Linked DNA regions of Mytilus edulis. The protein of the gene in region 2 interacts with the protein of the main gene of each other region in a biochemical or structural test. Links are inferred from orthologs where the notes say so. Each region holds a gene or a part of one and is shown on either strand. Other genes may lie near its edges.

The links. The genes of interacting proteins can lie anywhere in the genome.
Region 1: the proteins of ubiquitin-like modifier-activating enzyme 6 (region 2) and ubiquitin-conjugating enzyme E2 T-like form a complex in vitro, tested with the Homo sapiens proteins (2 studies listed by BioGRID, with this or other methods). The link is inferred for Mytilus edulis from reciprocal best matches to the Homo sapiens genes UBA6 and UBE2T.

The regions. Positions count from the first base shown.
Region 1 is NC_092350.1:70,530,174-70,534,680, forward strand, and holds the start of ubiquitin-conjugating enzyme E2 T-like, read right to left. Parts: upstream 2,341-4,507; 5' UTR 2,274-2,340; coding exon 2,165-2,273; intron 1-2,164. UniProt on the Homo sapiens protein: Accepts ubiquitin from the E1 complex and catalyzes its covalent attachment to other proteins. Catalyzes monoubiquitination. Involved in mitomycin-C (MMC)-induced DNA repair.
Region 2 is NC_092347.1:10,919,755-10,924,261, reverse strand, and holds the start of ubiquitin-like modifier-activating enzyme 6, read left to right. Parts: upstream 1-1,511; 5' UTR 1,512-1,622; intron 1,623-4,507. UniProt on the Homo sapiens protein: Activates ubiquitin by first adenylating its C-terminal glycine residue with ATP, and thereafter linking this residue to the side chain of a cysteine residue in E1, yielding a ubiquitin-E1 thioester and free AMP.

The DNA of each region.
Region 1 (4,507 bases), on a different chromosome or scaffold from region 2:
ATTTCACAGCCAAAATCTAGTCAAAATAATTATTCGTCTTGAAAGGCTATTATATTTTTTTGCTTTGACACCTTACATACAATGTACATGCCATAGACGTAAGGCGTCAAAGAAAAAAAATATAATAGCCTTTCCAGGCCTCGACAATAACGCTTGTCCGATTGTCCGGTACCAGAGGGAAAAAAAGGTTGGACAAGTAAAAGCTGTACCAAGCTTGTCCGTCGGGACAAGTTCAATTATTCTGCAGAAAATAAATTTTAATAATCCAACTTTGATGAACAAAGTAAAATTTTTATTAACAAAAAACAAGAAAACAAATAATAATTTGACATGTTTCTGTATTGTGTTTATTCAAATGCAAAACCATTTTCTTCAACATGTTTTCTAACTTGCAATCAATAATTTTTAACTGGTTCTTTGTCAGGTATATTTTCAAAGGTAAATGGTATACTATTCTTTGAAACCAGTCTTACTGATCCGAATCAATGATGTGCTTTGTAGATAAGGTAACTTTACAGGGCAGTTTGTCACCTCGACAGGTTTTACGTTAGCTCCAAGTTTAGTAGACAGTTTGGCTCCGTAGGACATGATTGATAGACAGTTTGGCAAAGACAGGAGACATTTCGAAACCAAGACAAATCAGTACCTCATTTGGCTACCTTATTCTGTTCCTTATAATACATACCATACCCGTATTTTTTTTCACCATAAAATTCAAAAAATCATATTTGATCATAAGTAGAAAAAACAATACGTTCAATATAGTGACCTATAGTTGTAAATTTCTGTGTCATTTGGTCTCTTGCAGAGAGTTTTCTCATTGGCAATCAGACCTTATCTTCTTTTTATTGATGGCATTTAACATGTTTGAATAAATTTTTTTCAACTTAAAAAAAACAGGATACAAATTCAATGAGTGCACAGGCCTATCAGATTGTGCCTCATGTGCAGAGTCTGATGAGACTTGCATTGATAAAAAGTAGAACCTAAGTCCTGTGACATGACTAGATTCAGTTGTACTTGACTCATAGTTTTGCAAAGTATTTCAAAAGAAATACATCAAATGCTATTCTATTGTTTATTGTCGTTTTGTCCCTTTATTCAACTTAAGGTGTAAAAAGGTTATTTTTAAATAAAAAAATTGGACAAGTAATAATTTCATTTGGACAAGTAAGGGAGCTACCATTTGATTTTTATGGGGGACTTGTTTACATGTAAGTAAGTCCCCTGACTGATAACACTTGAAATTTAAATATAAGCAGATATTGGTGACTTTCAAACATTGATTATTAAATTATAATACATTATCGATGTATTTTATAACTTAAAAATGATTTCAAGAAAGAAATTGAATTTATAAAGATCGTTTAAAATATAGTGTGTACATCCAACATGGCGGCCATTGTGTTTTCCGTGGTCACCACTAAATTGTAAAAGTTCTGTATGAACTCATCCTGTTTTTTTGTTTGTGCTTAAAGTGTTTAAGTTTGCATGTGCTACTCTTATATAAATACTATGTGCTACTATATATGTGCTGATATTAGACATTTGTTTTAATATATCTTGCTTAGCTTTTATTCTGCATGTGCTATCTATGTATTAATATGTATATATATGTGATGTCTGTATGTTTGTGATGTCTGTATGTTTGTGTTGTATGTGTATCTGATGTTATTACATGTATGTTTTGTTTATTAATATCAGTCGGTTAAAGAGCTCTTAAGAGCTCATGTTCTTTGTTATTATGTATATATGCAACCCGATTTTAAATAAAGATTACTTTACTTTACTACTCCTGTAAATCATTTTATAGCTATAAAATGATAAAATACAGCGATGGTATACAATTATTTAATAATCAATGTTTAAAAGTCATCAATATGTGATAATATTAAAATTTCAAGTGGTATTCGGTCATTACAAGTGTTATTCTGTTATTAATTATGGTGCACATTTTGTGCCTTATCATGCTTATACATGTATGCTTGTTAAAGTACCACCCCTGACTGTTAAACTTTACAACTTATCACAAACATACTGACAGTGACATACATAACATCAGAATAAAACATAAAAATCAGTTGAAACATTTGCAGATTTTAACCATAAGATACCCTTTTTTCCACAGTTTGCATACATGAATTATTTGAAAATTGTGAATTACGCGCTTGTAACAGATCTATCCGTTCATCCTTGGACCAACAGGATATTCCATATGGTGGAGATTTAGATAACATTTCTAGTTCCTTTTTCATTCTTCCTGATCTTTGCATATTGCTGATCAATGTTTCTTAAATTTTGGTAAAAATCAAACAACCCGCAATTTTTTTAACCGGAAGTTGTATTTGACTAAAATTGGAAACAAATGCGGAGCAAGACGATGGTCATTTCGTACCTTCTATCCTACAACCTTTCGTACCATGATCAACACAATTTCACTGATCAATTAACTAAATAACATAATCGTCTTGTGAATCGCTAAAAAATATACTCCTTTCTGCTATATCACTGCTCCCGCAAATAAGTGATTTATATAGACATGTTTTTTTGCCAGCCTTCAAGGATCTTCAAGTATTTCAGATTTTTCTTCAGACTCATGATATGAAGTCAGAACTCAAATTTTGATTGCAACTAAAGTCAGATGACATGTTGATACAGTCTGGTGTTAAATTAAGGAGGAACACGTAGAAACCATTAAATGGTTGCAAATTCATGTTTAGACAAACCTAGGCCGAGTGGTAAACCTAGTGATGTTTTTTAGTAAATTATCTTTTCTTTGTGTTCAGTGTTTACAGGTTGATATTTTGTAACTCCATTCCTCTATAAATATTAAATTATTTTGCAAGACAAAACAAAAACACAAAAAGAAAAGCACTGGTTTGTAACACTTGTAAAGTATTTGAAGGTGGTTGGATGTTACTTTTGATTTAAAAACTTATAGGATATTTTGATTGAAATGTACGTAGGCCTATAGCAAAAATGTCGATTTTAATATGCATGGTTTGCTTAACGTGTATTAATTTTTTTTAAAAGAAGACATGATTTGTTAGAGACTTAATTGTAAAAAAAATATGCATGCAGGCTTTCCTTAGGTAAAACTTTTCAATGAAAGGCATCTTCTTCTTCTTCTTCCAGGTAAGGAACCGAATTCAAATCTTGAATGTATGAGGTCCCGCGAAAACTAAAGCAATGTCGGACAACACAGAAAGTTTTCTCTTGGCTATTTACAGGATAAAACGTTCTCTATCATAGGCGGAACCAGGGGGGCTGGGGGCCCGGCCCCCCCCCCTTTTGTGGGAAAAATTTGGTTGATTATATAGGGAATCATTGAAGCATGACTGGAGTGGGGCCCCCCTTAGGTCAGTCAGCGGGCCCCCCTTAGGAAAAGTTCTGGATCCGCCACTGTCTATATATATACAATTAAAACTATGTACAGGATGTTACTGTCTAAATGTTAGCAGAGCATGCCTTCAGGACAGCTCTGAATCCATCAACTGTGTCAGCTGATGTTGCGGATGTTGGCAGTTGGTTCCAGTCTCTAATGGTCCTTGGAAAAAATGATTGGCATATTTTTTTTTAATAGTTTTTTTCTTTGAAACTGCATTTTTTTCTATTCTTAAATTATATACTAAAAATCTTACTTGAAAACCGGCAAAATAGCAAAACTCTAATATAAATCACTATTTAACCCGAGCGGGAAAAACAGTCCTAAGGATGCTATTTTTGTCGCAGCCGGTTAAATAGTACCTTAGATGCTACATTGCGGGAACCGGCAAAATAGCCACTACTTTTTGTTCAACATGTCCACTGCAGTTTCAGACTCTTTTTCTTTTTTTAATTGGGGGGGGGGGGGGTCATTTTTAACTATACTTTAGTTTTTGTCCATTATTTTCTATGTCTGCTCCTAATTATCTGGGTTTTAGATCTATTCAGAAACCCTACCTATGCCAACATGGCCAATGCAGACTTTCATTGTATGCTTATGTAGTGTATACAGAGGAGTGTAATTTATATATGGTGTTGTGATATATATTATTGTTTTTCAAGTTGTGTCACTATCAGATAAAGTATTACTTGTTATCGTCATAAATCAGAAAACATACATGTTATCGTTATGCACCAAAATTTACCGTTAACGTCATTTGGCATGATTTTTTAAAAATTTATTCTTCTTTGAAATAACCCTATTACGATCCTCAATAATGGGATGCAAAAATACAAAATATAGAGAAAAAGAACAATTGATTATAGATATAAAGAATGGAGAAAAACGACCTGAAAATCAAGGAAAACAGACTGATATGACTGATTACCCACCTCCAGACCCGCATAAAACAGAAGTTCCTTCATATATGAATTGTTCTAAAAAAAATATATGTATTTCCCACGGTACCGGAAGAAATTATTACATGGCAGATTACAGTTTGTATTACTGACTGAAAAATAGACTGTTTATGTTCCAACGAGAACAGATATTACATAATTACTATTATGGCATTGCATTGCT
Region 2 (4,507 bases):
ATAATTGTACGGGGCTTGTTTTCATAAGCCATTTGGTTGATAAAACGACCTCTTATTTTAGCTTTTTAGTAAGAGCTTACTGGTGTTGCACACCTCGATGTCTAACTGGTCTTGCACAGACCTCAGTCACTATTTACACGAAAGGTCTGGCACAGACTTCATTGTCTAGATGGTCTTGCACAGACCTTGCTCACTGTGTACACGAAAGGTGTTGTCAACACGAAAGGTGTAATGCATTTCACAGTATCTAGACACAATGTCGCTGTTGTGTCTAGAATTATAATGCATTTAGCTAGACAAAGGTTAAAATGACAGATTAAGCTATGTCACTTTTAAACTGTATGTGAATTTTAACTTGTTGTTCATATTCATGTTTCATGTTTTATCTTTACAAATTGTTGATATTTGTGGAATTATATGTAATTTGCTAATAAACTATGAAAACTTGCTAGTGTTAAGTTTTGCAAAGCCAAATATGAAGGATCAGAGACTCAGGATTCCTATACCTACTCTTTACACGGTCTGGGGTAAAAATATGTTAAAGTTGACACAGAAAATACACAACGTAAAAACCCCTCCGGTTACACAAGTTTGCATTGGTACGAGTTTTTTTTTAGTGGTACGAGTTGACGTTGGTACGAGTTTACAATGGTACGGGATAACTATAATTCAAATGTCGCTATTGGTTATCAATGCACATGAGTCATGATGCACAGTAAAACTGAAGGACCTTTGAGAATAGTCACACAATATCTGTTTTCAAACTAAAACGTATAATTAATATAGTGTATTTGTAAAGCATGTCTATTTGTAATTATAAACATGTCAATGAAAACCAAACGGATGTACATATGCATAATTTCTTCAGTGGTTTTTATGTTTATAATTTGTGACAGTCTGATTTTTACAGTACTTCAACTTCGTTTTGACTTCAGTGTTGCAGCTCTGGTGCTTTAAAACAAGAATTCGCTAACAATTAATTGTAATTACCATTTTCATACTATATTCTCTGTTATTATTGTCCTTTTATTCTCGATGATGTCATGGTCAGCAGCGAAATGACAATTCAAGAAAAGATAATCTATTATTGATTTTATAATGTCAACTTCCGGTTTAATATTGAGAGGCTCAAGAAGGGTTATTATTTGATCTATTAGATCTACCAGGTATTAAGTTGAAGTATTTCATGTCGAATAACCTTTTATGAATATGAGTAACTATAAATGTTCATTGGGTTTATTTTCTGTTACATGAATAATAAGGAAATAATAATAAAAATCGTTTATGCAATTTACTAATACCTGAGGATTTTTTTTAATTCTGGCTTTTGTGCTTGTCTATACAATTTTACTATATGTCTGCAACTACTTAACATAGTTTTAAAATTATTCGTTTCTTTCGTTAAACTATTCAAGAAATTTGAAATAGGGCCTTTGAGTCCTTTGAAATAATTATGAGTTTTTTTACGAGATATCAGAGCCAAGTTCGGGATGACAATATTTATATTTTTTAATTTTCCGCTGGGCTTTCACAACTTCCGGTTAATCTGGAGTGATTTCCCTTTGGAAATGTTTTTTATTTTGCAGTTTCTAGCTCTTTGTTTCTGATACAAGCTGCATAATGTAAGCATATTGACAGTTATACACTTCAATCAAGTATTTTTGTTATGAAGATGAAGGTTGAGTCCCTTTTTCATGACTAATAACATATTCAAAATATTTGGTTTGTGCTATTAAAAATTTCTAGCTTTTTGGGTCCAAATTATAAAAACAACTATTTTTTGTTATCATCTCCTATTATATATGTAAGTTCGTGGTCTAGTTATTTAGACTGATGTGTACAGTGCTGAAGGTTCTGAGTTTGTCTAGGGTGTTAAAATATCAGTACAACAGTGGTGATTTTAACCCTCTGACACATATCTCTGTCTCTGGTACCCAGACCGTAGTAAAATCTAGAATAGGTAATTAGGAGGCCTTAGTTGGTCAAAGTTTCTCTGGAATTTGATCTGGAGATCAATCTGCGGATATCTTTTCGGTACTGTTTTCTGCCATGCAGCCCGGTGGTACTTACAGAGTTCTTCGGCTTTCTCCACCATAATAACAGATTCTGCCCTGTGTCCAAACACTCCCTCATGTTTGGGTGGGAATTGTCTTTGTAAATATTGTTGTAAACATGTTAGTGACACATCTTCATTTATCCCGATAGGGAGTGAACACAGATTCCACTGTGCCTACATGTATGCAGCTCTCAAGGGGTGCTCCTTAAACCGAGGGATCTACATACACACAGTACCATTCAAACGGATCGATTCGATTTCCGAGTTTTTTGAAGCCACACAGAGTACCGCGGATTTCACTCCCTAATTCCTGCAAAGATTCTCTCCCAACTCCGCGTGGCTGTTAATTGGTTTATTGCCCATCGGATGTACTAAAAATTAACAAGGCGTAACAACATAATTGGATTAGCCAGATAATTTACCTATGTACATTTTGTACATTTAATCGATCTTGATTGCACAGGTGTGCTATAAAATCACGGTATTAAAATTTTTTAACAAATGTTTTCCTTCCTTTGTCAGATAAAGATGTGAAATTATAATTTAGAATAAAATAATTATTATCTTACAGGTTTTTGTCCCATGTCATTATCTTTGAAATAATTTTACCAAAAAAAAAATGAAGAAATTTATTTAAACTCAATTTATTGAGCAATGTAAAATATTATGTTTCACCACCTCGATACATTTATACAGACTTGAATAATTAAAATTAAGAAAAGAAACTGTAAAGTGACAACTCTGTTGAACAATTGGAATAACTTCAAGTGATTTTGCTAGTGTTCGTCATTTTCGTATTTTACGAAACGGTTTTCAAATTGACGAAAGTATTTTATATCAATTGCGTCATTTAAGTTTTGAAAATGTAAAAATATATCGCATTAAATTACTATAATTTTACCTGCCTTCATGTTTTTGACAAGTTTATGACACTCAGCCATTGAACGTTTACAAAAGATGTTAAAAGTTGTGATAAGTAATCTGCTTATCGCCATCCGATAGGTCACTAATCCTTTAAATATTATTAAACCTCAATTGCCCATCATAATATTCTGTTCCATATGAGCGTCACTGATGAGTCTTATGTAGACGAAACACGCGTCTGGCGTACTAAATTATAATCCTGGTACCTTTGGTAACTATTCCAGTTAAATCAGTCAGCGTTTCATTTTCAAAATTTCTAAATTGCCCACAGTTGGCAGTTTTTTATCATATTTTTGTCATTTGATCACAATTGATTCCCCCGTTCAATATCTCATCATAATTTCAATTTTTCATCAACCATAAATTTATATTATTGACCATGGACGTATAACTAATGTTCAGGTCTATGTCCTGTTTTGACCGATAATATAAAAAATTAAATAGCTAAAGAAGATGTGTTTTTGTTTATTCGGAAAAGAATTATATTTTAGATTAGATACATTTTGTGTAGTTAATCAATTGTTAAAGGACCTTGTGGAGCCTCAATAGAAACGCACAAAAATGTCTTTCTGCAACTTTTAAACCTGAATGAATTTTCCCACGGTCGTCCAGAAAGATCACCTGAGTTTACTGGTACGTGATATTATTTGCCGCCCTTTAAAAATCTTGTGCTGCGGATAAAACCAATGTTAACTATTGTTATACGTCTGCAAAATTGAAAATTTTTTGGTCGTATATTGGTATCAAGTTGGCGCCATCGTCTGTAGTCGTCGTCGTAGTCGGATGACATTTGGTTTTCGCACTCTAACTTTATTAAAAGTAAATAGAAATCTATGAAATTTTGACACAAGGTTTATGACCATAAAAGGAAGGTTGGGATTGATTTTGGGTGTTTTGGTCCCGACAGTTTAGGAATTAGGGGACAAAAAGGGCCCAAGTAAGCATTTTTTTTGGTTTTCGAACAATAACTTTAGTATAAGTAAACAGAAATCTATGAAGTTTAAAATTATGTCTATAACCACAAAAGGAAGGTTGGGATTGATTTTGGGAGTTTTGGTCCCAACAGTATAGGAATTGGGGGCCAAAAACAGGTCCCAAATAAGCATTTTCTTGTTTTTTGCACAATAACTTTATTAGAAATCTAATTATTCTGATTTAGGGAGTTTTGGTCCCAACAAATTAGAGGCCAAAAGGGTCCAAAATTAAACTTTGTTTGATTTCATCAAAAAATGAATTATTGGGGTTCTTTGATATGCCAAATCTAACCGTGTATTCAGATTCTTAATTTTTGGTCCTGTTTTCAAATTGGTCTACATTAAGGTTCAAAGGGTCCAAAATTAAACTTAGCTTGATTTAAACAAAAATTGAATTCTTTGGGTTCTTTGATATGCTGAATCTAAACATGTACTTAGATTTGTGATTATGGGCCCAGTTTTCAAGTTGGTCCAATTCGGGGTCCACAATTGTTATATTAAGTATTGTGCAATAGCAAGAAATTTTCAATTGCACAGTATTCTGCAATAGCAA